Bombyx mori: one gene and its partners. The protein of the gene in region 1 purifies or fractionates together with the protein of each later gene. This does not show direct contact. Links are inferred from orthologs where the notes say so. Each region holds a gene or a part of one and is shown in the gene's direction. Other genes may lie near its edges.

Region 1 (10,583 bases):
AAACTTGAAAATATAAAAATTTTCACCATAAACTTGATTTAAAACGCGAAAAAAACCTGTACTTACTTTTGTTTTAGACCATAGCCGATGTTATAAGAACATGCCTCGGACCTCAGGCCATGTTAAAAATGTTAATGGACCCTATGGGAGGCATCGTGATGACCAACGATGGTAATGCTATACTCAGGGAAATCACAGTCCAACATCCAGCTGCAAAATCTATGATCGAAATCGCAAGGACCCAAGATGAAGAGGTTAGAAAATGATTTTTGTAGATAATCATGTACCATGATCTGTTAATGCCTAATATTAGTATTATTTATTTGAGTGTCTGTGTTGTATTGCATCTAATTATGAAATTGAGTCTTATCTATTTGAAGGTTGGAGATGGAACCACATCAGTCATAGTGCTAGCAGGAGAAATGTTGGCGATTGCAGAACCTTTCTTGACACAGAATATTCATCCAACAGTCATCATCAGAGAATACCGCCAAGCTTTAGAGGATGCTATAGTTCTGCTTCAAGACAAAATTTCAGTGCCTGTAGATTTGAATGATAGAGATAAGATGAAAGAAGTTGTAAGTAAAATAATAGTTTTAAGTAAATAGTTTGAAATCGTAAGTAAAATAGTTGATATAAACAAAATTAAATCATTACAGTCCCTGACTTGAAATACGCTTGCTACATGCTGCAACTTGTTGATAGTTGTGTTACAAATGATTGGACTGTAAAAATTAAAAAAATAAAAAAGTTTTTTCTAAAATAGGGGTAACAGTACTCTATACTTTATAGTTTATACTTTATTTTCCTTGGGGAGTGTTTTATGGAATTATTTGGGACAATCCCATGATATTTTTACCACTGCACTGCCTATCACCAAACCAGAATTCTTCCAAACAACTATGTTATGTAAAATGCAACTATGGATTGGGCTATTTTCAGTCTTTGAGTGATATAGCATGGTCTTATTCAATTGACATTTGAGGAGAATCCTCAGCTGAAGACCGGTGCTTGACTATGTCATTGCATCATATGTATTGTTGATATCCATTATTTGGCAATAAATTTAAAATTTATTAACAGATTCGTTCATGTGTTGGAACAAAGTACATCGGTCGTTGGGCAGATCTTGCCGTAGACATTGCTCTTGATGCGGTTAATACTGTTACTGTGAATGATAATGGCAGAATTGAGGTTGACATTAAAAAGTAAGTATTACACATTTTTATACAGAAAAGCAAAATAATTTCACAAAAGCTACAACTTGATATCAAAGGCTTATAATAAATATACTGACTGACTCTGGCTGGGATACAGTTGCTAAATATATCACCAATGTGATGGTCAAGGTATACCATTGATTGTAGTTTATATAACAGTTCACAAAGTAAGGATATATCAAGGAATCATTTTTGACAACAAATACCAGATGTGATAAAATAGAAAAAAAAAAATACCTTGACAATTAGAAATAGAGTTAAAGTTGACACCTTGGCCAAAATCAGCTAAGGAGAGTAGATGAAGTAGTGTGTACTATGATATAAGAGTGTAAAAAAATGAAACAAAAAAGGACCAAAATGAAGTATCTGCGTAGTTAATGAAATGAAGATAGTATTTTGTATGTGACACAATATATATTTTTTTATCATTGTCTTCTTAAACTTACCACATATGTCTCAAAATACAATTTTAATAAATCATTTACAGTTATGCAAAAGTGGAAAAGATCCCAGGTGGCACAGTTGAAGAGTCTCGTGTACTCAGCGGTGTTATGTTCAACAAGGATGTAACCCATCCAAAGATGAGGAGGTATATTGAAAATCCGCGCATTATCCTGTTGGATTGCCCACTTGAATACAAAAAGGGAGAGAGTCAGACCAACATTGAGATTATGGGTGAACAGGTAAATAATACTGTGCAAGTTTTATACTTTAAAATTACTAATTGGACCCATTAATTCAATACAAATGAGACTATGTCCTCATGTCTTTGTGGTGGAATTCATGTACCAACACCTAGCCAACATTTGATTGGCTGACATGGGTTGTAGGTTTGCCAATTTAAACCAAAAAAAGAAGAGTAATTCGAAAAACAAAAAGATTGAGAAATTCCTTCCATTGCGAGTACATGCATTATGATATTGGCCATCTTTACATGAAGTTTAAGTTACATTAATCAAAGTGACATGGAATATTACAATGTCTGACAAAGACATTTGTATGTTGAATAAAAACAATGGTTGATATGGCAGTGTCTTTTTAAATTTCTGATCTGACATTAAAGTGGTTGCCACAATACCCAGTGAATAATTTTTGTTGTGTAATTGCCAATGGGTAGTTAGTGTCTATGGAAAATTCCTGATTTCTAGACTTATTATATTGAATACTAGCTGATCCGGCAAACTTCGTAGTGCCTCAATCTATAAGTAAAAGACCTAAATTTTTGTATAAAATAAACTTAAAACAAACAAAAGGAATCCGTCCGACGGAAGACACATCAAAGGAAAAACAAAATAGTTATTTTTATTTAATTCCGAGTATTTTCATATTTATATACCTTTTAAACCTTCTCTGGACTTCCACAAATAATTCAAGATCGAAATTAGCCAAATGGGTCCAGCCGTTCTCGACTTTTAGCGATACTAACGAACAGCAATTCATTTTTATATATATACATAGATTAGAATGTAGAATTTGACTGATCATAACGAACATGATTTTATTTATTATAGGACTTCACTAAACTGCTACAACTAGAAGAGGAACATGTACAGCGTCAATGTGAAGAAATTATTGCACTTAAACCAGATATTGTCTTTACCGAAAAGGGAGTTTCAGATCTTGCACAACATTACCTTGTTAAGGCTGGAATTACTGCTATCCGCAGGTATGTATTTTCACATTGTATAATATGTGAATAAAGCCTTCTTTGTTTTGTTTCATTGTGACTGATGTGCTGCTTTAATAAAAGGGTAGTAATAATTTAACACATTTTTGGAGGTAGTAAGTACCACACTAACTAGTGGTATCTCTTATTTTGAGCATGCTATCATTATGTCTTGTAACTATAAATAATACTATGTCTAATAATAATGTAATGTAGTAATAATAATGTAATGTAGTAATAATAATGTAATGTAGTAACAATAATGTAACTATAACACAGTAAATCACCATGCTTTCTGATTATAAAGATATTCTGGTACATTTGACGCATGTACATTCTGGTACATTTGAGACTATGACTTGATAGATGACCTATGTGGAGGGTGCAGTGAGGGTTTGAGGTTTATGCAGATCATAAAACTCACACACTCGTAACCACTTAACATTCAATCAACTATTTCCGCTTTGTGAGCAATAAACTAAATTTTCGATATGATTGGATAGAATTATTGAGTTCAGTTCTGTATTTGCCATTACAGTATTGAGCAGACACCTTTAAAGTTTTATTTCTCAGTTTAATTAATTGAAAATCATTCTAGACTCCGTAAAACGGACAACAACCGTCTAGCGCGGGCGTGTGGAGCAACAATTGTCAACCGTACTGAGGAACTCAAGGAATCCGATGTCGGCACTGGAGCTGGACTGTTTGAGATCAAGAAGATCGGAGATGAATATTTCACTTTTGTCACTGAATGCAAGAACCCCAAGGTACTAAATTAATTATATTTAAATCACTAATCTGCTCACATTCTGCTGTGATTATCATTACTTGTATGTAAGACATAGATTTCTTGAAACTATTCACTTACCACCTGTCATGTCTTGGTACTGTAAAATAATTATTCCCTGAAGTACCAGCTACAGCTACCAAGTCTCAAAACAATTGAAGAAGTGCATTAAGAATGTATGGAAGAAAAACACACAAACACTTAAATAGTAGATGTTATTACTACTTCATCTTTTTTTTTAAAATAAACTCACTATTAAACAGTGTTTAATATGTTTGGCGATTCTTAATGCATCAAACATGATAACAGTGAGTGTTAAATTGTCTGGTTAAATAATAAAGGACGATGACAACATTGATGTTGATGTCTGTGGGTTGCAATCCCTTAACATGAGACGAGAGCTCGTTCACCTATCTAAACAATAAAAAAGAGCATCAATGACCTACTGAGGACAGTGCAGCGTAAATTACCTTGATTAATAGTATTGTTGTTGTTGTCCTAGGATACCCCGCTAGTACATAGGGCTCTCACAAGTTGTCTCCACTTTACCCTGTCTTGCGCTTGCTCCTTGACCTGGAGTGATTAATAGTATACCTAACAATAATTTCATAGTATTACAATAATAGTTTAACGATATGCATTTTCTCCTCTCAACTATTAAAATGAATATAGAAAATGAGTAAAATAAAATGGAATAATAATCTAAAAATACATTTTGAAGGCATGCACAATATTACTCCGTGGTGCTTCTAAGGATGTCCTGAATGAGATTGAAAGGAATCTTCAAGACGCTTTACACGTCGCCAAGAATTTGGTAAGTGTATTGACACATTATCTATCTACTGTATATGAATTTGCATTTTTTTTTCGAATCGTATATTCGATTAAGAAATCATTGGTTTAAAAAAAATACAATCTTTCTTATTTTATATAATTATATAAAGTCATTGTATGATTAAAAAAAGAGAGAACTAAGACATTTGGTAATTCCAATAAATGTCCACATTTAAAAGTATGATTGATTTTCAAAATGTAATACAAAACAAATATAAGTGTTAATTTATTATTTTAAATGCCCATTCTGTCCTAATGATTTTAAACAGAACTCATACTAGAGATACGTTATTAGTTAGTACTTAGGGTAAATATAATTATTTTGTGTACTTAAAATGAAGTTGTTTAATATTGTTATTCATTTTCTTACTATTGCAGAATTAATATCTATACATATAAATAAAATTGGAGTGTCTGTTTGTAATATTGAAATAGCCTCTTTTTACTACATACATATGAATATATATACGGTACATATACCAAAATAACATTTTTTACAATTTTTGTCTGTCTGTCTGACTGTTCCGGCTAATCTTTGGAACGACTGGACTGATATTGACGGGACTTTCACGGATAGGTAGCTGATGATATAAGGAGTAACTTAGGCTACTTTTTTTAGACTAGCTCCGCCCCGCGGCCTCACCCGCAGTTATTGTCGTACCGCGCCAAACATGGCGGGACTCGCCTATCAATAATAAAATTTAATGTTTCCGAAGCGAAGCGAGGGCGGGTCGCTAGTTATAATTAAAAAGGTTGTTTATTTTACCTTTTTTTTTACAGAATTTTTTGAAGTGGTAGAATTAAATTGCCCATATTATGATATCGATATATCCATCATGTACAAATACATAATGATGGTATTGAAATTGATTATAATATAATGTTGTGCGTGCAGGTGGTGTCGCCGCGGCTGGTGGCGGGGGGCGGCGCCGCGGAGATGGCCGTGTCCAGCGCGCTGTCGCACCGCGCCGCGCACAACACGCCCTACAGGGCCGTCGCCACCGCGCTCGGTACTAGCACCCCGCTGTATACCTATGCTTAGCTAATAATATATAGTACAGTACACTGTGAACGTGTCCATAACAACGTATGCGCTATGAAAGAAGCTTCAAGCGGCCTACGCACGACCCTAAAATCAGTGGCGATATCGGGACGGCAGTGGTGGGGATAATCGTCGTGAGCTCGCCCCAGCGATTTTTAGAGTTTATGGTAAACAATAAAAATCGGGTTACGATTTGATTATACACGAGGTGATTTAGGGTCTTCCCCACCACTGTCCCGATATCGCAACCGACGTTACGAAACATATTATACGACATACGATTTAAGGATCAAATTCAAATGACAAGCTATTATTCACTGGGCTGAAGCGGTGCCGTTGCAGTGCTTGCATAGTGTGCCATGACCCTTACTCAAACCTTTAAAGGCGGAAGATCCTCAAAACAACTGGCATATACAGATCTAATCAATCTGCTTAGTTTGATCCTCGCATATTCTGCCAATATCATGGCCGATTTTTATGAACTTCATTACGATCAGTGAATGATAAAATTATATTTACATTTTTGTATTGTAGATAATGCGAACACAACAATAATTCTGATTTTTTTCAATACTAGAAGTAAATAGGAAAAATTTAAGTTTAATATTTAGAATATGAATCTCTAGAGATTTTAATACTTGCAGGCTGCACTGCGCTCAGAACGTTACGTAATGCCAGAGTTCCGCGTGCTTAGTGCGAGTTTCTTAACGTTCTCGATGGCGTAAAAGTTAACCCAATTTTGTATGCAGTTGGAACAGCGCCCCTAGCGGCAAACGTACGCAAACGATTTCATACAAACATGAGTTAACTTTTACGCTATCGAGAACGTTAAAAAATTCGCACTGAAGGCGGTTGGCACATAAAACTTGAACTGACCATTAGAATTTGTATTTTATTTTTATTTTTTAAGGGATTTTATGACTTGGTAACTAAGACCTTTAAGTCATATCTTATTTTAATTTATATTCATAATTGTATGAAAAATGATAATATGGAGTGAAATGAAATGAAATAAAATTAAGATGATTAATTTGAGATCAACTGGGATGAAATGAAATGAAATGAGATGAGATGATATGGGATGAAATATAATCTCAGTAAAATGATGGTCGTTTACTGACATTTTTTCCAGTGGACTTTTTGGAGGATCCCGAGAAGTTATGTCCAGCGGCTTTGTTACATTTTCCCACATTTGTGCACTTTCACAGATATTAAACAGTTAATAAACCACCGTTATTACACATTTAAACCTGAAGAAACACTAAATAGACAAAATAAAACAAATCACACAACTTCACTACTCGCGTTCCCGCCAAAAAGTCTCTCGAATTTGTATAATTGTGTTGCAGAGATAATACCGCGCACGCTGGCGCAGAACTGCGGCGCCAACACCATCCGCACGCTCACGGCGCTGCGGGCGCGCCACGCCGCCGGACTCGCCTCCGCCGGCATCGACGGCGAGACCGGCGAGATCGTCGACATGGCCGTCAAGGGGATCTGGGAGCCGCTCGCCGTTAAACTGCAGGTCCGTAGACCACACCATCCTGCATCTATGCACTGTAGCCTTCCCGGCTAGGTACCGCGGTTCTGCCTACTTCTGCCGCGAATCAGTTTTGAGTACCAGTTTGAAGGCTGAAGCGGTCGTTTTACAATACAATTGAAACTTAACTTTAGATCTTAATAGCTTTATCATCAAGACGTCAATAGGGATCAAAATTATTTAAGTTGTATGCAATAGACGCCATATTCAATGAGACAGACAAAATATATAACTAAAATGAATACATATAATGACTTACAATAAACAAAAAACGCCAACGCTTCATAACAATTACTATAGTGTATATCAAAATAACAAATAGGTCGCCAGGTTTTTCTCCCATTTTTATCGCAGACGAAGCCTATACGGATCTCCTAAGAGCTTTTTTTTTACCTACCTACCTGAGAGCCTTGAAAGGCTATTTCAGCGTAACCTTAACTAGTAGGTGAGCTCACGGGGCTCAAACCTGACGACGATGCTAACGCGAACCCTAGCAAGAGCCGTGCTTCGCAGAATCTACCGCCGGATCGGAAACGCGACCCACTGAGAAGATCCGGCGAGAAACTCAGTGGGCTGTGTCTGAGGGTTAATTTACTCGTCAAGCCCTTCGTCGCAAGCAACTGGTTCGACGAGAACGGTGACCGGTGACCTCCTAAGAGCGAGTGATCACCGTTCCTTATTAAAATGACAAATGCCATGCCGTTGCCTAACACTTCCTTAATTTGTTCGTTTGTTTCATGAGCGGCGCTCTGATACAATTAGCCTCCGAATACACGATGAATACGACGAATCTTTTATGCTATTAAAAAATGAAACATTAAGATATAACATTAAAATGAAATTCGTACTGCAGGTGTACAAAACAGCCGTCGAAACAGCGATCCTGCTGTTGAGGATCGACGACATCGTGTCGGGCTCCAAGAAGAACAAGAACAACGAGCCCGCGGCGCCGGCCGAGATGGCCGCACAAGAAAACTAACTTACATAATATTATTAGCATTTAAGCTCGCTTTTGGGACTAATCTTGACCGTAGTTCAGCAGATGTCATTCAAATTACACGGTCTTGGGCAGTCTGTTCTAACTCTTCCCACGTCATACCCAAGACCCCTAGCTCCTGCTCCACCGAGCAACGCCAAGTTGCTCTGGGGCGGCCTCTCTTCCTTTTTCCAGACACTTTCCAGGTCAGTGCTCTCTTTGATTTATAGATTTGGAGAGAACTTAACGGTAGAAAGCGGCCTGGTTCTGCTCCTGGCATTGCTGAAGTCCATGGGCTCTCCTCTGCCTACAAGGGCCATAAAAAATATCTTTTTCTTACCCTTATCCCAATATCCAAATATATTATGTCTTTTGAATATCAATTTGATTTTTTTAGTTTAAACCGACCAAATTGTGAGTTAAATTGTCAGTCAGGATAATTAGTTTGTCATCGGTGTTGTTTTTTTTTCATTAATTCAAGGTTCACAGGAATTCAATAAAATATTTTTAATGTTACTTTCAGTTCTAAGTTCAGTAATGTGAAAACCGATATGAATTGTTATATTTCGATCAGTTAATATTTGATTTATGAGTTTAGCAAATATCATGTTCAAAAATTACTTAGTCTTGTTTTGACGGATTGAGTGTGCACTGCTGAAATACGTTAAATTTTGACACTGGCAACATTTCATCGACAGTTCAGCCGAGAATTTCAAGTTATGTCCCAAAGGATTTAGAATTTCTATCGCTAGCTAACTATTTGTTTAATAATCTTAACTACGGGAAGTGAGACCGATCACAAATGCTTGTCTTATATTTTTGTCTTATAATTACAATGTCTTATTTATGATAATGTATTTTGAAAAAGTTGTCTTTTTTTTTTCGGATTATAGTTTAGTTTTGTCTGGCGCTGACTAGTGTTAGTGTCGTCAGCACCGTGAGCATTTTATTTTCTTGGAATCTTAATATGTAACAAAAGTATTAAACATTTTATAAACTAAAAATTTGTTTTATTTATGAACCCTTGAATCGATAGGCAGCAACTTTGCTCTGTTGCCGAAATTGTAAATGTCTTTTTGTTTACCACTTCTAATTTCCCAAATTTGTGGTAGGGGTAAATTCACATTGATAGGAACAACAATCCTATGATTTGATTGAGTGTTTTAGTAAGTGGGGTAGACACCCAGTGGTGGATTTACACTAGGGGCAGTCGGGGCAAGTGCCCAGGGTGGCAAAATTTTGAAAATAAAAATATATTTTTTAGTCTGATATTGCTCAATATAATCAATTTATTAATAATTTTCTGTTTATAAATAATTTTCTGTTTAATTGATAATTCAACAAATTCAGTTCATTCATTATTTGTGAATTATAATTTTGGCACTTTTGGAAAAAATAATAATCAAAATGATTTAATCAATTTATTTTCTTGGAAATTTAAAATAACTAATGTTCCCGCATTAGTCGAGATTCGACTATAATTAATTGAAATTATATGTTTCAACAGACTACACTATAGACAAATACTCGTAATATTAAAGATAAACAATATTAGCCTATTCTCAATTTGACTGCAGACTTTATAATAACAAAAGTTTGACAATAAACTAAGAGTATATGTTACTGTGTCAAAGACATGGTAGTGTAATGTTTTCTTTATTGGTTTAATGTATCTTGCATTATTTCAAAAAGTTAGCATTGTGAACTTCTCTATATTCTCTATATGTGGAAAATTTCATACTCCTCCATCCGCGCATTTTTTGTAAAAAGGGATACAGTTTTTGCTTCACGTATTAATGAATAGATAATAGATTTTTCTATTTTCTGTAATTTAAGAAATTTAATTAGTTTTTTATGTAAAATTATTAATTATGACCCACCCTTAGTGCCAAATTTATAATTGTTTGAAAAAAAAAAAAACAAATATTTATTTATGTTTTTGGAATATATAACATAAGTTTCTGCAATAAAGTAGTTATTGTTATTTTGAAAATTAAAATATACTTAATTTATACTACAACTTTAGGTAAAATTCCAGTATTGGGGCGGATTTTTTTCCGGTCCCCAGGAGCGACATTAAGTTTAAATCCGGCTCTGTAGACACCATTGGAGTAAAGACGATTTCCACTTTGTGTTTTAAGAACGATGGCGACATTCCCGATGCGATGTCTAGGGCCCTGTGACCCCTTATGCAAACGCAAATGCAAAAAAAAGCAAATGTTTTCCAAAAATGAGTTGCACATGAAATTAATTGAAAAAAATTAAAAGTTTTCATAAAGACAATAACTCAATCTCAATCATCAATCAGTTTTTCAATCATCAGTCATGAAAAGTAAACTTTAAACTAGTCGATTCGTATTTTATCACACAAGCGTTGGTCTGTTGACCAAAATTCAATAAGTCGCTGACAATTCAAGTTTTAGATTCATTTTATGTACCTATTACATATTTTCTTTATTGTTTAGATGGGTGGACGAGCTCACAGCCCACCTGGTGTTAAGTGGTTACTGGAGCCCAT
Region 2 (11,241 bases), on another chromosome or scaffold:
GAATGCATTGATTTCTTTTTTATTATGTTTGATCAATGATCTAGCAGGCAGTAGCAATTGTTAATTAGTTATGTCGTTAATAATAAATTACAATTTGTAATAACGTCTTACGACCAACTTATAGCAAAATACACAACCAGTTTTCACAAATAATTAAATATACTAAAACAGAAGAGAATCCCTGCGATATTTAGGTTTTATTTTATTGCGAACTTTATCACATAAAAGTAAGTATTTTTGTTCGTTTCCGCTATTTATAGACACAATTAAAATTACTTTTACGATGTAATCTCACGTTTTTTACTGACATTAAATATACGACATTTAATTTTTGAATACTTTACAGTTTTCATGGTCACTGACGATATTTTAATGATGATGTTTTCTTGATTACGATCTTGATGATGACAATAAAAACCGCGAGATTATACCTTAACAGTAGTTTTAATTACTTAAAAATGTTCTTAAAGTTTTTAAACTTATATTATCAAAAGATTAGAACTATTTTTCATATGTTTACTGTACGAGTAATCACTGAAAATACTTTATAAAAATATATTTCACTTTCATCAATGTACTAATTTGATCAATAATGAATAAAGGTTATACCTACCGTCCTTGAACGAAGATAATAAAAATTGCGAGATAATATACTTTCCAAAGTAACTTTTTTGACTGCATTTCAGTTAATTTATTTTGAATTAATTGAAGCGTGACGTGTACAACCATTGAGTGAATTTTGATGATATTTTAAAATAAAACAAGCCACGCCACAGCGCCTTTAGTTGTGTGAGATCTGAATTTAAATACATAAAACATATAATAAAATCTCCGTGCTAACCTGCCTGAGAGACTTTGCTAACATCTACTGTAGCAAGAGTAGTGCTTTATTGAATTTATTGCCGGATCAGAATCGCGACCTACTGATAAGATCCGGTGAGAAACTCAAGGGTTGTGTCTGTGGGTTAATGTATAGTTGTGGTGTCACGGCGGAGCACACGTTCGCATACTGCCCCGCTTTCGCGAAGCAGCGCCGCACCCTCGTTGCAAAAATAGGTCCGGACTATGTGCGGCAGCGACGAGCCCTGGCAGGCGATGCTCGACTTCTGTGAGTCCACCATCATGCAGAAGGAGGCGGCGGAACGGGGAGAGAGAGCTCTTCTTTCCTCTCGGCGCCGGGCCACCGCCACCGAGCCGGGAATTGGAGGAGGGTGTTCGTCCAGCTCCAACCCCTGTGAAGAAGCAGTCTCCTCCCGGTGATGTTCACGGGGCGACCTGAGGTAGTCGAGGTTGCGCCACACGCTATTGTCACTGTAGCGTGCTGGCATGTGACGACGCATCTTCGGAAGCGGTCCGCGATGCGGTCCGCATTGCCGTCGTCGCTGTCGTCGTCGAACATACTGTGGAAGAGCAACCGTATAAGGGGCAGGGGAGTCGTTTAGTGCGGTAGGGTCCTTAAATAATTTTGGACCTACGGTCTGCTTCCAACATCTGCAGATCGTCAAGTCTCATATACCCTGCGTGCCCCCTAGGCGGGGGAACCTCATGGGAGGTTCAGCCCCCGGCCCCAAAAAAAAATTATGTTGTTATGTATGTACGACCGTTCTTGTGATTGATCATTCCCGATCTCGAGATTATATTTCATCCCATATCATCTCATTTCATTTCATTTCACTCCATATAATTATCATTTTTCATAAAAATAAGAATATTATAAATTAATATAAGACATGACCTAAAGATCTTAGTTACCAGGTCATAAAATCCCTTAAAAAAAAGTAAGGCGGTAAGGTCGATTGACGAACGACGATTTTGTTTTTATTTTGAAACCGTGAGCGGAATAATTGTCAATTTGTTATACATAATCACAAATTGTGTTGTGATCTACCTTTATTATGGAAAATTGGTCAATGGAGACACCATCAAGAATAAACGCTGAAAATATACCTCAAACCATAACTCAAAATCCGAGTGAACTTACATTGGGTTCGGCGTGTACAGAAAACGCTTTTCAATATCCAGCATTATTTACAAGCAAAAGCTTTCTTGAATTGTCCACTTGCTCGTGGTCAAGGGGTCGTAATGCTAATGAGAATATACAGCCTTATTTACGTGGATGTAAGTGGTCCCCAGATGGAACCTGTTGCTTAAGTGTTGTCAATAACGATGGTGTTCATGTTACCGAGCTTCCTAGTGAATTGTACCAGGGCGTTGTTTGTGGCGATCGTATAATCGATGTCTTAGAATCAGTGATACATTTAAAAGAAACAGGTTCAGTTTACGACTTCTGTTGGTACCCATTCATGAACAGCACAAATCCCCCTTCCTGTTGGTGAGTGAGATTTAAAACTCAATATTTGGTCTACAATGGAATTGATGTAAATATAAAATATCGTTACTTAAATATCAACCAATCTAAAAATTAAAAAAATGCTCAGTGCCTTATGACAAAGGTGTACAACCAATGTGTTTTACCAGTGATGACGTACGGTTCTGAGATATGGTGTTTCACAAGGGAACTTTTTAAGAAGCTTAGTGTCACACAGCAACCTATAGAGAGGGCTATGTTTGGTATTTCTTTATGAGATCGAATCAGAAATGAGGAGATCCATAGAAGAGCCAAACTTGTTACATAGCCCTAGGATTAGCAAGCTGAAGCGGCAGTGGGAATGCCATATAGTACGAAGATTGACAGCCGATGGGGCAGAAAAATCCTTAAATGGAGACCACGTACTGTCAAGTGCAGTGTGCCGTGTACCAGATGGGCTGATGACATAGTGGACATCAGTAGGAGAGGCCTATGTTCAGCAGTGGACAGGCTGAGATTATGATAAAATATCAATTTTAGTTTGTCAGTAAACATAATTTCTCTTCCTTTAAAATAAGGAGCTGAAATAGATTTCTTAAGAAATGCCTAACTTTCATGTAACTCAATAATTTTATTGACAGCTGGTTAACAACAAAACAAAATTCTCCCATACAAATGTGGGATGCATTTGATGGATCACTCAGATGTTCATACAGAGGATTCAATGCAGTAGATGAAATGGAACCAGCTTTATCAGTTAGCTTTACCTCAGATGGTAGAAAAATCATTGCTGGCTATAAGAAGCATTTAAGAATTTTTGATGTTGAGCGGTAATTCTTCATTATCAAATTTATCTTAAAACTTTAATTTCATGCTCAGTGTGGGTATTTAAGCAAAGCTTAGACTTGCTAATAACTACTTTATATCAAGGCAGGAAGCTTTTATCGTATCTATACTAATATAAAGAGAATTTGTTGTATGGAAGTAAAATCTTTTAATATACTCATTAAGTTAGTAATGTGCTCAAGATAGACAATTTTTTTATTTCTTTGATTGGTATACAACTAGGTTTTAAGTGATTACTAGAGCTCATAGACTTCAACAACATAATTGTTGCAATCCTGCCTGAGTTCTAGGTCTATTTTATTTGCTTGTATATTAATCAGTAAATTTTTTAGGCCTGGCAGAGAATTTACTGAGCAAAAGATTTCTAGTTCAGCATCTAGCATTTCAACACAAAATAACTTAGTTGCTGTTGGTTCTTGGAATACAACAATAACTTTGTATAATGAATCAGAAATTGGTACTAAGAAAATTGGGGACATGTATGGACATGGAGGTAAATAGCACTGAATAATTGGTGTAACGTTTGTTACATATTGTTATATATATACCCAATACCTATATATACCTAATCCAGCCATAAGTTCTGTTTCAAATGAAAATGTTTTTTTTTTAATGAAGTAAAAAGAAATGAAGTCAGCAAAAAATAAAGAAAAATATTCTACTTGAAATGGCCACCTTTGGCTTTTATACAGGCCTTTAATCTGTTTGGCCATGAAACTATGAATTTGCGCACTGTTTCCAAGGGAAATTTCACTGCTTGCTCCAAAGGTTTTTTAAGACTCAATGTCGCTGTATCGCTTAGAGCAGGCCATGTTCTCTAAAACTGACCATAATTTCAAGTCTAATGGTTGAGGTCTGGGCTCGGTGAGGCTGGACTTCAGCTCTTACAAAGTCTGGAACATTGGTTTCAAGCCAGGCTTGGGTAGTTCCTGCCTTGTGACCAGGTGCAGAGACATGCGGGCCAGTCCACAGTATATTTTTAAAAAGTGTATTGCTGAGAGGTTTTACAGCATAATCCAAGACATGGATACATGGACAATGATACACATTGACTGAAGTTTTCACTTTCTTTTTCACAAAAATATAGCTTGTGATTCCTTGATAAGACACGCCCCACCAAACCATCACTGATGCAGGATGATGACCACTTTGTACCTTTCCTACCATTTCAGCAGCTTCTTTAGAACTGTGAGTGTACACTTTATCATTTTGTTTATTGCAGTGTTCTTCAATAGTGAAATTTTTTTCATCAGTAAAGAGAATATTTCTGTGCCTTTCACCTGCATATCGCATCAAAAGGCATTTTCATTTATCCAATCACTTTAATTATAAAGATTGATTTAGGGTATATCCTGCGAGCTTCAGGTCTTGTTTTATAATACGCGACAGAGTCCTATCGGGAATCTTCATTTCTCGCTATAAGATATTTTGCTGCCTAATTCGACGGATTCTGGCTTTAACAGCATTAAGCCTTTGTAGTTGTAACAGGACGCGGCTGCACCGATCTTTTCTGGTCTTCGACAGACGAAGTGTTGTTTTATCTGTTGATAGTTCGATGTACCAACATAATGGCTGATACCTAGCATTTGAAGTGTCTGGAATATGACCGACGGCTCAATACCCACTTTGCGCAAGGCGATCACTGCAATCCTATTTTCCTTAACACCACATTCCTTTGTCATTTGATAATGAACACGAAAAAATATCTGAAATGGCGCAAAATCGAAAGAAGTTTTTAAAATAATATACATGTTCCAAATACAAAATAATTAAAAAGTTGAAAAAAAAGAAAAGTTTTTATGTAACAGTATTTATGGCCAGACTAAGTTATATAATAATATATAGCACAACAAGTATATATTTTTATCAGAAACCTTAAATCCTTTAAGTGCATTCATAATCATTTAGCATATTCATGAATATTCATTTGGCTTTGCGAAATGTTTTGATTTTTTCTATTGCTTCAGGTGGAGTAACGCACATGAAATTCATTCCTGGTACTTTGAAGCTTGTTTCTGGTGCAAGAAAAGATCACAGACTGTTTGTTTGGGACATACGGTATTATAGGAAACCACTAAACATTCTGAGTAGAGTTGTAAATACGAACCAACGAATTTATTTTGATATATCACCTTGTGGAAAATATTTGGTATCGGGTGGTACAGATGGAGTGGTAAAAGTTTGGTCACTTGATCATATAGATTGGCATTCTAGTTTAGATCCAGTTAATAATACAACTGATGATGTTACTTATAAGGTATTATTTTTAATTATATTAATAGCTTGTGTGCTTTATTTTAAAAGCTTTTATTGAAAAAGAGTAATTGAATAAATAGTTTAATTTTGAAGCCTGCATGACATCACAATTGTACAGCTACTGGATGAGATTCTATTTTACTATTTAATGAATATATTGCTTACATGGTAATTAATTTGACGGCTTAAACTCTATTTTTGACTTGACTTTTTCATTTTCAGTTTCCTTTATACAAAGATTGCTGCAATAGCATATCAATTCATCCATATAGACCCATATTGGCTACCGGATCTGGTCAATATCATTTCACAGACCCGATAAAATCTTTGAGTGAGAAAACGAATAATGAAGCCGTAGATTCTAGTTCTGATGATTCTATTAACCAGTATGATATACGATACTCTAGTCACAGTGAAAATTGTTTGACGTTCTGGTGGACTGGGGATGTTATAGAATTAAATAAAAACCTACGTCGTTGTGTTTAAGCAGATGAATCTTTATGTATTTCAATTTATACATTTGTAGTTGATGTTGTGTGAAAAAATGAATGTGATAGATGAGTTTCCACTTTAAAAAAATTTACATGACTTATGTTGACTCTGACCTTCAAGCCTTCTCTTTTCTTATGTTGGCTGGCAATCAAACTGAAAGTGTCAAAAATCTTTGTGATTTTTTTTGGTTCAATAGTATTTATCGAGTAGTCTGATATGTAGATATGAAGAATATTTTTTATATTGTCTACCCTATTTAAATACCCCCTATTTACAAGTATAGTTAAAGTGAAAGGTTTTCAACTATAAAGTTGAAAATAACGAAGTTTGGGGTTCCCGGTCTACTTATTATCATTTAACATTTTACTGGTGATAGGACCTCTTGTGAGTCCGCACGGGTAGGTACCACCACCCTGCCTATTTCTGCCGTGAAGCGGTAATCAGTTTCGGTTTGAAGGGTGGGGCAGCCGTAACTATACTGAGACCTTAGAACTTATATCTCAAGGTGGGTGGCGCATTTACGTTGTAGATGTCTATGGGATCCAGTAACCACTTAACACAAGGTGTGCTGTGAGCTCGTCCACCCATTTGAGCAATAAAAATAAAATAAAACATTCCGTTTATGACCTACATACAATAATTTTATGTTGATAAACACGTTAGTTCGTTACTTAACAGTATCAAACAATCGAATAGTGGACTTTTCCCAAGGCTAATTCGGTTTCCGGCAGTAACAAGTAGATCGATAACATGTCATTGTCGAAAGCAAAGACGATTATGAAAATTTGCGCAAACGTTTATTTTTTAAATCACAACTACCAAAATTTTGTTTAGTTATGATATATGTATGTAAATACTTATAAATTGAGACTAGCCCTTGCATAAAGTCCGCTTAGAAATGTGCGAAAAATTGGCAATCTATTGGCCTATCTCAACCGCAAAACACGTTTTGGATTAAAGGGTAAAATTTAATAACTTTTAGATCTTGTAATGATAAATATTCGAGCAGATTTTGATAAAAATGTTTGGTAAGTTATACGCGGTGTAAAATGTAACTACCCTCGAAGCTGCAACAAAGGTGCTATGCAAATCATTAGCGAAAATCGGGAGACGAAATTGATTTCGGGAATGATTCGCTTCCATTGATAGATGGAAAAATGTGTTGAGAGTGAAATGATCGGACTGAATTTTAAATTTTGACTTTTGAGTCACAATTGCGAATTGCATAAATTTAATTTAAGCCCACGGTATTCCGTTTTCGGGCAAAAATACTTAAACATTCCTTCAAAAATAGAATTTTGTATTGATAAATGTTCGACTGACTTAGAATTATTATCCCATTTTTCTAAAAAAAAGGGCTTAGGAACGGAATGTTCGTGAAAATTGAGTGCCAATTTTAATCTATTGTACTTTTCTATACATATAAGTACTGTTATCACTAATGTTAAGGAAGAAAGAGGGGAGTGACGACAAAAAACGTGTAATGAATTTAAAAGTAATTGTTTTTTGCTGGCACATAGCCGCGACTTAATGTGATCTTTAAAAGTTTATTCTTTTTATTTGCCAACTGATCGTAACAAAACACTTCAAAGATAGTATATGCTTATCAAAATTATCTAAGGCCAATTCGTTCACTCATTGGGGAAACGACTAAGTTGTCCAAAAAAAGGTGCATAGACTAAAAATAAAAATTATCTTTATGATTTTATTTAATAATACGTAGACATAAATAACATATTATCAGTTCTCTTTGTAAAGGATTTTATTTCATAATACGTACTTAGACATAAATAAAATATCAGTTCTCTTTGTAAAGTTTTGTCGACGTCATCCATGGAATATGATAACTCGATCGATTTGCTGACTGTAGTCCTCAGATCCTTGTAAAGCGGCTCAGTTTTATTGCCACGCCGAGACCTTTGGCGTCCGTAAATCTTTATTAAAATGTTTTATGACGATTGCCTTATACGCGTTCAATCAGTTTCGGATTGTTGGGTTCAATCGAAACGTAACTAATACGATATATTACTCAAATATTTAAACGTTTTGTTTGTTTGAAAGCTTATCTATTTGCAACCTCTTTTTCAGGTCTTCGTCTATATATATGTAATAATGATATTATATAGGATAGTATTAAATATGTATTTTTCACGTGATATTAAATATTACATGAAAGTGTCGACGATTACAAGATCCTCGTCGACATGCTTGATGAAATTTGATGGCCCGGTAGGCTTAGTGATTAGTGACCCTGGCGACTGTACTACAGAATTCAGGTTTGATTCCCGATCGGAATCTATCTTTGTAAAATTTATTAGGCATTTTTTGCACATATATTTTTTACATGTATAATACAGGAGAGGACGATATCCGGAGGCCGTTGATGGCCTAGAAAAATAGAAGCTAGTAGAGAGATGATGCATGTGACTAGGAGATGTATGGAAATAGCAATGCAAGGTAGAGGGGGAAGAGGTCGACCGAAGAAGACATGGATGGAGTATGTGAATGACGATATGAGAGACAGAGAGGAGGGAGTGTCAAGATGACGGCTGAGAGAAGAGAATGGAATAGAAAAATTCGCTGTGCCGACCCCACCTAGTGGGATAAGGTGGAGAAAAAGAAGAAGAAGAAGTTGATGGTTTACAAAAAATCATGTAAACTTCAGATCACGGCATCCTGGGTGACTACGATTTTTGTTTGTTTGTTGAGATTATACCAAAGTTAGGGAGAGAGGAAAAATGCGCGAAACCTCAATCGAAACAGACGAGGGGTCTGTTTCGATTGAGTTCTGTGTCAGTCGAGGTTTGGACAAGGCTCGTTGAGCGATAGGGGCTTTTAGTTGGTTCAACTCCGAGACTGCCAACCTATCGTCTAGTTAGAAGCCTAAGGATTTCCTAACGAACCAAAAAAAAAAAAAACGCTCTGAGAATTAAATTATAACTATGTGCTTACGTATTGATATAAGCTTGCGTGTTTAAATAAAAAACAAATATTGAATGTTAACGAAACCTTATTATTGCCATTCCGGTTTTGTGACCACGAATACCGAAAGAACTACTAATTATTCGCACGTTAATTGAAGATGTCGTACAACTGCGTTACTTGACTATATTTTAATTGAAATTGGTTTGAATTCGGAATCGAGGAAGTGACTATTTGATAGGAAAATTCAAGCATTTACTAAAGTGTTAATTATGGTAAATTAAAAGCTTTTCATTAAAAACTATTTATTTAACTATGTAGGTATGATATGCCTACTATATCTAAATTTTTCTGGTAGCTTTTTATTCTTATCGCGTATAGTAAAACGATATCTTTTTTAATCGATTTCAAAAAAGGAGGATGTTCTCAATTCGACGTTTTTTTTTGTTAGATACCTCATAAATTTTGACTGAGTGAATCGATTTTGATCACTCTTTTTTTATTAGAAAGCTGACGCTTCCCGTGTGGTCACATTTCAATTTAGTCCAGTTCTGATAATGGTGGTAGATGCATAACTCAATATCACGTCAACCGATTTCGATGATTATTGGTTTTTAGTGTATATATTTTTTTGGAATATCTTTTTTTTTCTATTTGATGTTGGGTTTTGTTATGTCTATTTACAATTAATTAGCATGTCTATTTACATTTATTCCAGACGGTGCTTAACAATTAAGAACCTAATGTGCAATAAAACAAGGGCACGTATGTGATATGCGTTCACGAATTTCAAAGAATATTGAAAGGTGACTTTTTGTCTTTTGATTTAAAATTTTCTACAATATAGGTTCTCTTAAGCCTTTCCCGGGTATGGTTAAAAATACGGGTATGGGATCTCGCAAACTTATATTTTTCTTCTATTTAAGTGTCCCAAAAATATCTACCTCGCGTAGACAATGTTTGACCGTTGGCACGTATGAAGATTTGACACTTTGAGTTCAAGGTGGGTCATGGGATTCGTACTGCAGTTACTGCGGGATTTGGTAGGTATTTGCTTAACACATGACACATACAAAATTAAGTAATCTTCGTCGATCTTAAAATATTTTCACGGGTGTCTATTGTGAATAAGTTCATGTTATATTCGAACATAGGTATAATAGTTGTATAATGGACTGACAGAAATAGAACTGAGACTGAAGAAGTACGAAAAATTCAGTAGCATTGAAATACCAAAAAATCTAAGAAAAAAGTAGGACTGACTGGGATCCGAAAGTGACAAAAAAACGAATGACACTTTTTACAAGTCAGCGGCTGCGAGGGTAATCCCAGTCGGCATTAATCTGGCTTACACGAGAGAAATTTGCAATTTTGTTTCCTGCCCTTTATTATCTAGCCGACCGACAAACGTCACTTCTTTGTGGATTATTGTTTGTGGACTGCGACGGATCATTTATTCTGTTAACATAATTGGCGCGTTGCCTAGGCCACGAGGGCCATAAGTTTGGGGTTTTCATTGCCTTAGAACGAAAAGGGGACAATTACTTGATAGGGAGTGGTCGGCGTCACTCACCAGCAATGCCAGGGTTACAGCTAAGCCGCTGCTCTCCGCTGAGGACTCTGGGGAGTGTAATGTGGAAATAATAGACAGTAACAACTGCAAATAGCACACGATAGTCATAGTATGGGTTCGTTCAGGTTGATTTATATTTCGTGCGTGAAAATTTGATCACAAAATGTAATGTTTTTTCAAAGTTGATATAATTAGTACACGGCGGTAGTAGGGCGGATATACTTAATACATGATTTTAAATCGTAAATTCAAAGCAATCCACGTGATTTTGGCAAATCTTTTACCCTGTTTTGGGTAAAGTTCGATTATGGTTTCTAATTAAACTACGAATCCTATAATATTATATTTACATAGAAGTCATATATAAGTGATTTTAATAGACTGTATTTTAAGTTTACCAATTTAATAATATAGTTCTTTTATATAAATATCCTTAGAAACTACGTATGTATGTTAATGCGAAGTGTAATTCTAGTCATTGTAGTTGTATTAATGTGATCTCTGAATAAATATTTGATATTGTGAACGTGAGATTTTCCTTTCAACAATGATTCAATTTCCGAATACATACCTACCTGGTCCTGTGGACTGAATGGTAAAAAGTCGCAGTCGCCCAAAACACGCCATTTAGGATCCTCCTGATCCACTATCGGTGCTTTTAGGTACCTCAGGGTGTCGAGGATGTATAATGGGTATGTCAAGCCGAAATCGAACTATAGTTTCAAAAATGCAGATCACGTTAAAAACGTCTAAGCCGTACTTAGTTTCATACAAAAACTAATATTTTAATTGTTTCAACTGGTTGATGATAACCCTGGAATTGTACAACAAAAATGCCATTAAT
Region 3 (11,174 bases), on another chromosome or scaffold:
AGTTCAACAGCCCCATTTCAACGCATCGCCTTAGACATCGTCGGACCATTACCAGAAACTGGTCAAGTTAAGCTTAAATATATATTAACATTGCAAGACGACCTAACAAAATACTCTACTGCCTACCCTATTAGTAATGCCTCAGCCGAAGAATGCTGCGAATGTCTCATACATTTTATATCTCTTTTCGGAATACCAAAAATAATATTAACAGACCAAGGTACAAACTTCACCGCCGACCTTTTTAAGAAAACTTGTGAATTCCTCAAAATCAAACAATTATGGTCTTCGCCCTACCATCCTCAAACACAAGGAGCCTTGGAAAGGAGCCATTCTACACTAAAAGAATATTTAAAATCATACGTTAACGAAAATCAAACCAACTGGCACAAATATGTTTACACCTATGTCCTAGCCTACAACACTAATGTACATACTACTACAAAATTCACACCCTACGAATTACTCTTCGGCCATAAACCCTATCTACCCGATTCTATTTACGATCCTAGTCCTAGTGGTACCTATCATGAATATGTTAAAATGCTAAATCATCGCCTCAAATTAACACGCGATAAAGCTTTAGAAAATATTCAGAAATCAAAAGAAAACTCCAAAACCTATTATGACCGAAGGTCTCGCCCTTCCACGTATAAAATCGGTGATATGGTATATCTAAAAAACCACTTACGTCTACGGAAAGCATTATCACCCTTATGGAAAGGACCATACAAAGTGGTAAAAATACATGGAAACCACACACTTTCCCTTCTCATAAATCGACGACACGTAAGACATCATTATGATGAAATTAAACATGCAGAAGTTGAAACCTAATAAGTATGATTGTGTAATTAATATGATTAATTATTTTATTAGTTTTATTTCCTCTCTAGTATAACTTAACTCAGTAGCCTTTAAGTTAAAAACATTTATCGTAAAACATAAATAATAATAAATACATTCTCTTACAGCCTGTCGGCACCATGTCAAGGCCTATCACGCACTCGAGAAATTACCAATATCGAACAAATTACGAAAAGCCCTGGCATTTACTTTAATCCCTCGGGATCTGTTAGGATAATTAGTGATTATTTACATGTATTAGTACCAATGGACATAGACTACATTAAACCCCATATAGATAACATTCAGACGGTTTTGCATTCAGCCAGATACTTCTGTACTAAAAACAATGTGGTTGACGACCTAGAGTGCGAGAATATGTTCATGCCCCTTTTATCTATGTTCAATGATATCTCAAGGGACTACCACGCCATTTCTCATCTTATCCAAAGTAAATCAAAGAGGTCTGCGTGGATTTCCGGCATCGGCACTATTCTTAAACATATAATAGGCACCATGGATGAGAATGATGCTATAAGGTATAATAAAGCCATTCAAATACTTAAAGATAATAATAGAAAAACTCTAGATTTGATAAAAGAAAATATCCTTATCTCCAAGTCGGCAATTATAACACTCAACGAATCCATAATTGAAATCAACACTAATGAACATAAATTAAACAAAATGATTGAAAACCTATCTTCCAGTATTAAAAACCTAACAAAGGCAAGTAATGCCTTGTTGTTTAAATCTACAATACATGACATGATAAATGTTATTCAATCAAATATGTTAAACTTGTCCTATAAACTAGAAGACATCATAAACTCAATTTTGTTTTCAAAAACCAATACGCTACATCCATCAGTCATAACACCCAAAGATTTGTATTATGACCTTGTTAACAATGTTAAATATCTACCTAGATATTCGGAATTAGCTGTAAGTTTAGAATTAGAAAACATATATGTACTTATAAATCTCTCGGAAATTATTACATGTATTTTAGAAAATAAGCTTATATTTAGTCTTAAAATTCCTCTAGTACTCATTGATACTTATACTTTGTATAAGACAGTACCTATACCAGTACCCCATAATGTAACATCCAAATCTTTTGCACTAATACTACCTACATGTTCTTATGTGGCCTTAAATCAGAGAAAATCGAAGTATCTTAAACTCGATAATCTTTCTAAATGTAAATCTATTAATAAGGAAACTCATATTTGTAAACAATTAGATGAAATAGATATACAAGACTACCCCATCTGTGAAACAGAAATAATGACAAAAGTCTTGAAATCACTTCCGAAACAGTGTAAAACTAAATTTTTATACGGCCATGCCAACATATGGCAATCCTTAAATAATAATAGATGGGTCTTCACACTATCTGAACCCACTAAACTCAACATTGAGTGCACAGACGAAACTACCGAATATATAGTTTCAGGAACAGGCATATTATCCCTGAAACCAAACTGCACTGGATTCTGCAAAAACATAAAATTAATAAGTAAAAGTTATCCTGAATATAAATTCAGTCACATACACTCAGAATTCAATTTAGTAAACGATACATGTTGTAACCCAGCAGTGTTTGAAAATTATAATTATACCGAATCTATTACAGGACTGCATAACTTAGAATCGAATAATTTAGACCAAATAATCAACAAAGCTGATAACATGCTACAAACCTTAAAACATTTAAAATCTCAGAACGAATCTATTTCGATAAGCACTCCCCATTCCATTGTCACATACTTATTTGTAATACTATTTGTTATTTTTATATGTTATTATTTTTGTCATAGAAAGTGCGTGGCTTTTGTGCGTAAATCTAAACCAAACGAAAACACGACGCAAATAAACACACCCCCACAAGAAAATATTCAACTAAATACCCAACCGCGAATAAGAATCCATTAAACTTTATATTAAAATAATCATCGAAAACTTCGGAAAGCCGTAAGTTTTCGCTTAAAGGGGGAGCTGTTATAATATTAACTAGTATATTAATTAATTTACCTAAGACCGAAAAGTGCCTCTAGCAGCACTTTCCGGCCTAACATATACTAGAGCCCCGTTGGCTCGATGTCAGTCACTCTGCGTCGTTACTATGAGCCACACTCTTTCTAAGTAGAATTTTGTATCTTCAAAGTGAATAAAATCTTTTTTAAAAAGAGTTTTTCAAAGTCCCGTATAACAGAGCGCATTCCATTACGCTAACCCGACCTTACGAATTCAGCGCATGAACGCCATTACTTCGGTTAAGGACGAGTCACGCTTTCTTTGTTACCACACTGGCCACTGCATTAGGGACCAGTTACATAATAGTTTACCAGCGTAATAAATAATAATAATAATAATATAGCATCCATTATGGATTTGGTTCGGATAGCATTTGCTGATTTCCGAACTTGGAATGATATTAATGATACAATAGACTTAACTTTGTATACCTAAGTGGCCGACATTCTAAACCCGTAGAATACGGATAACGGATACAGAACTATCCGTTACTTTAACAATTCCTGAAATTTGATCAGCATCGATGGAAGGTGTAATTAACTCACGTGGATCATTATGGGACAAAGCAGTCATAATATGTTATATTTTAACTGTTTTGTTTCTTTATTTTAAAATTTAGTTTTAGTTTATTACAGATTTAGGCTATAAAAAATTAATTGGGGCCTTCGTTTTCATTTTTGAAGATTGTTATCATGTAATCACGTTCCGTTTTCTATTGCATCTGGTTTCTAGTTACCACGAAATGGGGAACACACAACTCAGGCGAGCAGACAGACGCTCTTCGAAACGTCATGGCATTCGAACAAAGCGCCTAATAAAAAGTTTTACATTGCCAGTGTACTTTATTGCTATTAATTAAATTCGGGCACTTTAAGTATCTATAATAATCTTTAACATAGTTATGAGTTAAAAAGTTATACAAACTAATAAGTCTGTCCTTAATTTTTAATTAAGAAACTGAGACTGCCCAGGTATCTAGGCAATAAAAAAATATTATACACAATAATAGAAAACGTAAGAAATTTAGAACCTTTTTACCTACGATATCAGATCAGGAATATGGAAATTCGCAGGAAAACCGTAATAACTGACATAGCCGAAGGAATTGTGAGATTGAAGTGGGCAGAGCATTGCTCGTAGAACAGATGGCCACTATGGCTGAAACGCTTTCGAGTGGCGACTGTGTAAAGATGTAGCTTGGGTGGAGCTCCCACAAGGCAGACCAGCTACCTGTTAAATATAGCGGGAATCCGCCGAATGCAGACAGTGTAGGACCGGTCGTTGTGTCGAGGCTTTGGGGGGGCCTTTGTTCAACAGTGGACATCTGTGGATATTGTCGTTTATTTAACTTTCTATACATAGCCTGGTTTTACTACTCATTCAGTTTCGAATAGGTAGCTTACTCATTATTGAATTTTTACCAGGCATATGTCTTCAAATCCAATTTCGTCTTATTGCAGCCAATTTAATTTATTTTTAAATTATTTCATTTTCATTCATAAAATAATTTTCATTACACTTTTTTAACAACTAACAGAGATTCGACATATACTAAAGTAGGGACCCGCCCTTGCTTCAGAAACTGTAATTGATTATTGATTTCTCCACTATTTAATGGATGTTATTATACATATAAACCTTCCTCTTCAATCTCTATCTATTAAAAAAAGCGCATCAAAATCCGTTGCGTAGTTTTAAAGATTTAAGTATACATAGGGATATAGGGACAGAGAAAGCGACTTTGTTTTATACTATGTAGTGATGAGGTTTACTCGCAGATGCTAAATTCCCGTTGCCTAGTCAAAAAACGAAACGAAAAAAAATTAAAATGTCAGATTGTCCTACTTGCCAGTTGTCAAATTTTGTAAAAATAATGCTTCATGCTTGTTTTCTCCACACAAAACTAAGTTTTTAGTTAATTTCCAATTATAAAATACATTAATTGAAGGTACAGAAGCTCATGGACAGTTCAATATTTAAATAGGTATATTTAAATCAAACATAACAAAGCCGCTTGGTGGCCATTCTGTGATATTACGGCAAAGGTACATAAAATATATATTTTTTGTAAATTTAAAACCATATGTAAAAATCTAAAAAATATAACTTGAAAGGTATGAAAACTTACGTACTTGAAAGACAAAAAAAATAAAAAAGTCACTATTCATTAAAATTTCATATAAATATCATTTTGATTTGTGTTTTCAGAAACATTAAACATTATCAGTGATGTCGATGCCACACAGCAGTTCGAGTACCAGTTCAGGCACGAAACGTAAAGAAATATACAAGTAAGTAACGTTACAACACAATATGAACTATAAATAACAGATTGGAAATAATTGACAGTATAAAATACAGAGTTGACCCAATTTTGAGATTGCTAATTATAATTAGGTATAGCGTGTTATTTATTTCTGTACCCATTCCTATGTTTCGAAACATTTGTAATACAATCAAGCAGGCATTATGGGACTTACTAATTTAATGCTTTAGATGTTTTGAAATATACAGATAATCCTTTCACAATTCCCGAAAAGAACTAAAGTGATGTTAACAAATTGCAAAAACAGCCTTATCTTGATAATTACGTACGAAATTTGAGTTGTTCATACAGTTAGGTTAAATTCTCATAAACGAAGTTGTGATAAAAAAAAAACACTATAAGCTAGACAGCTGCATTTCTATGTCACACATCTTTTACAGATACCAAGCGCCATGGCCATTATACTCAATGAATTGGTCTGTCAGACCTGACAAGAGATTCAGGTTAGCCCTGGGCAGTTTTGTTGAGGAATACAACAATAAAGTAAGCTTTTACAGAGCAGTTATTATATTAATTTAGTAATTTACAAAACATACCAACAGGATTAAGTAAATACAGTATAAAGGCCCAGATAATGAATCATGCAAAGCTAATGCAATTTTAGGGAAGTCAATTTGTCAAAAATTTCCCACTCATTGAATTATAAAAGATAGAGGTGTGTGCCTTATAATCTATAAATGCATAATATTACCAAAGAAAATACACAATAAATTACATATTTTTGTTGTTGTTCATTTTTCAGTAGTTGACAGAATTGGTAGGAGCACTTAGTTTGTGGAGGCTGTTCTTATAGACCAAGTAGACAAATACAGCAAGAAAAAAAAAATTCTAAGTAATTATTGGTGCATAATATTACTTACTTAATTCCACCATTAAATTAGTAAAAACTCAACTACATACTACTAATTAGTTAATTGTTTAGCATAATATACAAACATATAGTAAGTAAACCAGGAGTTCCCAAGATATATAACCCACTTAGACACACAATAACTTGACCGCAAAGGTTTTAATTGGTGAGTATGTTGTATGAATAGGAAAAGAACTAGGGATAGGGTTTTTTAAATAATTTGGGTATGGGGTTTTGAGGTATCAGTTCATTTTAAAAAGGGGTCTGCCAAAAATTGTTTTATATTACCTAATATAAATGAATTTATTAGTTTTCACTACATTGAAGGATTTTTAGTGAAAACTAATATATTAATGGTTTCATTTAACACACATACTGTATTGTAGCATTCCTTGTGCATGACATAAGCTTAATAAAACTCTTAAATCCTAGGTACAAATAATTTCCCTTGATGAAGACACAAGTGAGTTCACTGCAAAAAGTACCTTTGATCACCCGTACCCGACCACCAAGATTATGTGGATACCTGATAGCAAGGGGGTGTATCCAGACTTGTTGGCAACTAGCGGTAAGACTTCGGTAGCAGTTTGTTAGCACTAAGATTACCATATTTAATATGGAGATAATGAGGCTTGAATTTACTTTTACACTGCTACATAGACAAAAACATATACTCCCAAAAATAATGCTTACAATATCATCTCTCTCTAGAGAAACAGTATTCATGATAGTCTTTGAGCTCCATAAACCACTGAATTGTACTTAACTGAGCCTGTCTATCTCCTTTGTCGTCATATCACTCTTGTCAGAGCGGTTGTGGTCGTCATTCAGCATCATTGCTGAGGGCAGATGTTATGCGCCTCACAAGCAATCGCTACTCCTCCCGGTTTGTGGTGAGCCTGGTACACTCATGCAAACAATAATAATCAATCTACATAAATAAAAATAAGTGATACCCTATGAGTACAATATGAATGATTGTGATGTTAATAGAGGCAACTTTCGTTGACATAAACAGTTTTGATAAATAATCAAATTCAAGTAAAACTATTCAATAAAATTTCACAATGGTGCCTTATGTTGCAGGTGATTATCTACGCATATGGCGTGCCGGAGAGCCGTACACATTATTCGAATGTGTCCTAAATAATAATAAGAATTCTGACTTCTGTGCTCCTCTTACATCCTTTGATTGGAACGAAGTGGATCCTAACCTCATTGGCACCAGTAGTATTGACACGACCTGCACCATCTGGGGCTTGGAGACTGGACAGGTCTTGGGCAGGGTCAATGAAGTGTCTGGGCACGTGAAGACTCAGTTGATCGCTCATGATAAGGTTTGTGATTTTTATTTAATAGAAGATCTTGTTAATTCATTTGTGTCCAAAATTTATGTTAATGATTATCTGAAGATTATTGGTGTCTTCAAAAAATTTTCGTTCTGCGAATCTAGTATAACCCCTCGAGGTTACAAGAATATGTTGAAAAAAAAATTTTTTCAAATCAATGTATTCAAATATGTTTAAATCACTTATTACAATTTTGACATGATACATATTTATCAAACTAAAGAATTGCAGGATTGAAATGGGCATGTTACATACGTGCCCGATTTCATAATGATCACATAACATTTTAAGTTTTAATGTAATCATAAGCATGTAGTGTGAAGTATATTCAAGGATGCTCACAACAGATACTAATAGAATTTTATTCTATTGGAGATTCCATTAAAAATCTATTAGCATACACAAAACTGGTGGTAGGACCTCTTGTGAGTCCGCACGGGTAGGTACCACCACCCTGTCTATTTCTGCCGTGAAGCAATAATGCGTTTCGGTTTGAAGGGTGGGACAGCCGTTGTAACTATACTGAGACCTTAGAACTCATATCTCTAGGTGGGTGGCGTTATTTACGTTGTAGATGTCTATGAACTCCGGTAACCTCTTAACACCAGGTGGGCCGTGAGCTGGTCCACCCATCTAAGCATTAAATAAATAATAATAAACAAAGCCGAACGTATACGCCCCTATCTGGTTTTATACACCTTGACATAATACAAGATGCACTCTGCGTGTACATCTTGCTAGACACTGTAAAGTGATGGTTACTTGAACAATAATTTGTCCTTGTCTAACTCGCCTTAGAGAAAGGTGGCTGAACAAAACTTTATATACATGTGGGGGTATACGAAAAAAAGGTTCGACGGTCCGAATGTGGTCGTTCGGAACCTGCATATAGGCAAGCTTATTAAGCTATAGCAAGCTTGAAAATGTCGTAAGCGAGATTCGGGCATCAGTCAAATATCTTGTGTCGTGTGATGGCTACCCGCCACATGCAACTTCTCGCGTACGGCAGCCCTAATGCCGGTGTTTGTGCGCAGGAAGTGTACGACATAGCGTTCAGTAGGGCCGGCGGGGGGCGAGATATGTTCGCTTCCGTGGGCGCCGACGGATCCGTCCGGATGTTCGACCTCAGGCATCTAGAACATTCCACCATCATTTATGAGGTAAGTACAGGAGGCAGTAAGCAGCGTCTTTCGGCGCTCGTGCATGGGCGCATACTATCATTATTTGGACATGTCTCCCGGCGAGTAAATGACTCCATAAAGCGCCTTATCGTTCAGGGCAAAGTAGAAGACACCAGACCGCGTGGAAAGTTGCACATGCGATAAACTGACCAGGTCAAGTCAGCTATTGGCGGCTGTTTGCCTGAGTGTACCAGGCTCACCACAAACCGGGAAGAGTGGCGATTCCTCGTGAGGCGCATAACATCTGCCCACAGCAATAATGCTGAATAACGACCACGATCGCTCTAACAAGAGTGATACGACAAAGATAAAGATTCAAGAGGCCTGCGGCACGAATGACTAACACAATGAAGGAATGCCGCGTTAAGTCCGAGTTAGTTGACCATGTACTGTGGTAGTAAGACGTCTTGTGAATGTGCACGGATAGGTACCACCACCCTACCTATTCTTGTTGTACTGTGAAAAGTGAGGCCTTAGAACTCATGTCTCAAGGTGGGTGGTGGTATTAACTTTGTACACATCTATGGATTCCGGTTACCCCTTTAGCACTACGAGGGCCGTAAACAGCAAAGTAGAATCGGCAAAATTGCGGAATTTTCACTGTAGGTAGTAAGATCGATATCACAGATCTGCAGTATCGGGCTGCAAAACAGTCGTCTGTGAGGACCCGTGCAGTTTGCCTGTGAGCGCCACGAACTGGTCTGATCGTGTTTATGTTGAGAAGCTGCTGTCAACATAACAAGTCTTATGGCAGACTGTAATGTAACACGCAGGACCCTCAGCACACCCCGCTGCTCCGCCTGGCCTGGAACAAGCAGGACCCGAACTACCTGGCCACCATCGCCATGGACGCGTGCGAGGTGATCATACTGGACGTGCGCGTGCCCTGCACCCCGGTGGCCAGGCTCAACAACCACAGGGCGTGCGTCAACGGCATCGCCTGGGCGCCGCACAGGTTCGTAGGCCAGGTAGTAAAGTAGGAGCATCAAGGTTGCTAAACAAGCCCATCCGATATCTCCTCCTCTGGGACTGTGTTCCTCAGCGCATTATACGCAAAAGATAATTTGCGTAATGACTGGTGGTAGGACCTCTTGTGAGTCCGCACGGGTAAATACCACCGCCATGCCTATTTCTGCCGTGAAGCAGTAATACGTTTCGGTTTGAAGGGTGGGGCAGCTGTTGTAAGATAATGTAATACTGAGACCTTAGAACTCGTATCTCAAGGTGGGTGGCGTATTACGTTGTAGATGTCTATGGACTCCAGTAACCACTTAACAACCGGGTGGGGTGTGAGCTCGTCCACGCACCTAAGCAATAAAAAAAACAATGTTCTTGTCGTCAAGTTCTTAGAACTCTTCAAACTAGACTGTGCAGCCGAAAACACCAACTTTTGTTCTAATTCAGTCCGTAAGGTATGCTCCTTGTATTGTGAACGGACCACAATAATATAAATAATAGTTTAAAAAAAACAAAAGAAACGCTTTTATAGAAAATCCAACTAAAAAATAGAAAACAAATTTTAATAAATTTGTTTTTGTTGTGTTTGTAAATGTGTTTTTTAAAATAAAATCATTTTTTTTACACTATTTTTAATTCAAATTTATTACAATTTATTTTATATTTTTTAGTTGGATTTTCTATAAAAACGTGTTTTTTTTTATAACTTTTTTTTAAACTATTTTTATTTTTCATTTTTTAGTTGAATTTAAAAAATTAAATTTTTTTTTTTAATATTAAAATGTCATCGATCCTTAATAAGTATGCCAAATTTCGAGTTAAACCGACGTTTTGAAGGGGGTCAAAATCACGTTCAAAGATTCCGATACAAACTAACATACATACGTCTCATAAAGCTTATTAATAAATAATAATTACAAAATTTTAACCCTCAGACACAGCCCACTGAGTTACTCGCCGGATCTTCTCAGTGGGTCGCGTTTCCGATCCGGTGGTAGATTCTGCGAAGCACGGCTCTTGCTAGGGTTCGTGTTAGCAACGTCGTCAGGTTTGAGCCCCGTGAGCTCACCTACTAGTTAAAGTTACGCTGAAATAGCCTCTCAAAGCTCTCAGCATAGGTAGAAAAAAAACAATTAGAATAGTATGAATTCTTTTGTGTTATTTCGGTTCGTTTTAAAGTGAAATTTTTAATTCAGTTCTTGTCACATCTGCACCGCCGGAGACGACCACCAGGCCCTCATCTGGGACATACAGCAGATGCCGCGCGCCATAGAGGACCCGATCCTCGCCTACACCGCCGCCGAGGGAGAGGTCAACCAGATCCAGTGGGGCGCCACACAACCCGACTGGATCGCCATCTGCTACAACCGGCACGCCGAGATACTGCGCGTCTGAATATATCCTGATTGTACAATCCGGTGTGCAGTCGTGTGGACTGTAACCCCTGAAGCCGGCGTGTAGTTTGACGGTAGACGACAGTCGGTTAAACAATATACATATAGTCCTTAGAATCGGACGGTCGCAACAGATGATCCTTCGAGCTTGATTGTTGGAACGGGTATTTTAGTTGCAACATTTCAATTATTTTATAACTAAGAATTCTAGAAATAGTTCCTGTTTTTATT

What was found.
Region 2: the proteins of T-complex protein 1 subunit gamma (region 1) and telomerase Cajal body protein 1 homolog purify together in Homo sapiens (co-immunoprecipitation; 3 studies listed by BioGRID and IntAct, with this or other methods). This does not show direct contact. The link is inferred for Bombyx mori from reciprocal best matches to the Homo sapiens genes CCT3 and WRAP53.
Region 3: the proteins of T-complex protein 1 subunit gamma (region 1) and DDB1- and CUL4-associated factor 7 purify together in Homo sapiens (affinity purification with mass spectrometry; 4 studies listed by BioGRID and IntAct, counting the BioPlex papers as one, with this or other methods). This does not show direct contact. The link is inferred for Bombyx mori from reciprocal best matches to the Homo sapiens genes CCT3 and DCAF7.

The regions. Positions count from the first base shown.
Region 1 is NC_085127.1:10,944,698-10,955,280, reverse strand, and holds the end of T-complex protein 1 subunit gamma, read left to right. Parts: intron 1-77; coding exon 78-254; intron 255-380; coding exon 381-578; intron 579-1,083; coding exon 1,084-1,208; intron 1,209-1,707; coding exon 1,708-1,903; intron 1,904-2,731; coding exon 2,732-2,886; intron 2,887-3,484; coding exon 3,485-3,653; intron 3,654-4,394; coding exon 4,395-4,487; intron 4,488-5,402; coding exon 5,403-5,517; intron 5,518-6,898; coding exon 6,899-7,074; intron 7,075-7,942; coding exon 7,943-8,068; 3' UTR 8,069-9,069; downstream 9,070-10,583. UniProt on the Homo sapiens protein: Component of the chaperonin-containing T-complex (TRiC), a molecular chaperone complex that assists the folding of actin, tubulin and other proteins upon ATP hydrolysis.
Region 2 is NC_085124.1:10,449,819-10,461,059, forward strand, and holds telomerase Cajal body protein 1 homolog, read left to right. Parts: upstream 1-1,758; 5' UTR 1,759-1,895; coding exon 1,896-2,332; intron 2,333-2,949; coding exon 2,950-3,138; intron 3,139-3,486; coding exon 3,487-3,647; intron 3,648-5,121; coding exon 5,122-5,411; intron 5,412-5,632; coding exon 5,633-5,896; 3' UTR 5,897-10,923; downstream 10,924-11,241. UniProt on the Homo sapiens protein: RNA chaperone that plays a key role in telomere maintenance and RNA localization to Cajal bodies. Specifically recognizes and binds the Cajal body box (CAB box) present in both small Cajal body RNAs (scaRNAs) and telomerase RNA template component (TERC).
Region 3 is NC_085118.1:1,106,871-1,118,044, reverse strand, and holds the start of DDB1- and CUL4-associated factor 7, read left to right. Parts: upstream 1-4,700; 5' UTR 4,701-4,931; intron 4,932-5,094; 5' UTR 5,095-5,115; coding exon 5,116-5,177; intron 5,178-5,592; coding exon 5,593-5,695; intron 5,696-6,494; coding exon 6,495-6,630; intron 6,631-7,148; coding exon 7,149-7,399; intron 7,400-8,445; coding exon 8,446-8,571; intron 8,572-9,365; coding exon 9,366-9,547; intron 9,548-10,745; coding exon 10,746-10,944; 3' UTR 10,945-11,174. Other genes in the region: uncharacterized protein LOC134199889, read left to right, coding at 1-837. UniProt on the Homo sapiens protein: Involved in craniofacial development. Acts upstream of the EDN1 pathway and is required for formation of the upper jaw equivalent, the palatoquadrate. The activity required for EDN1 pathway function differs between the first and second arches.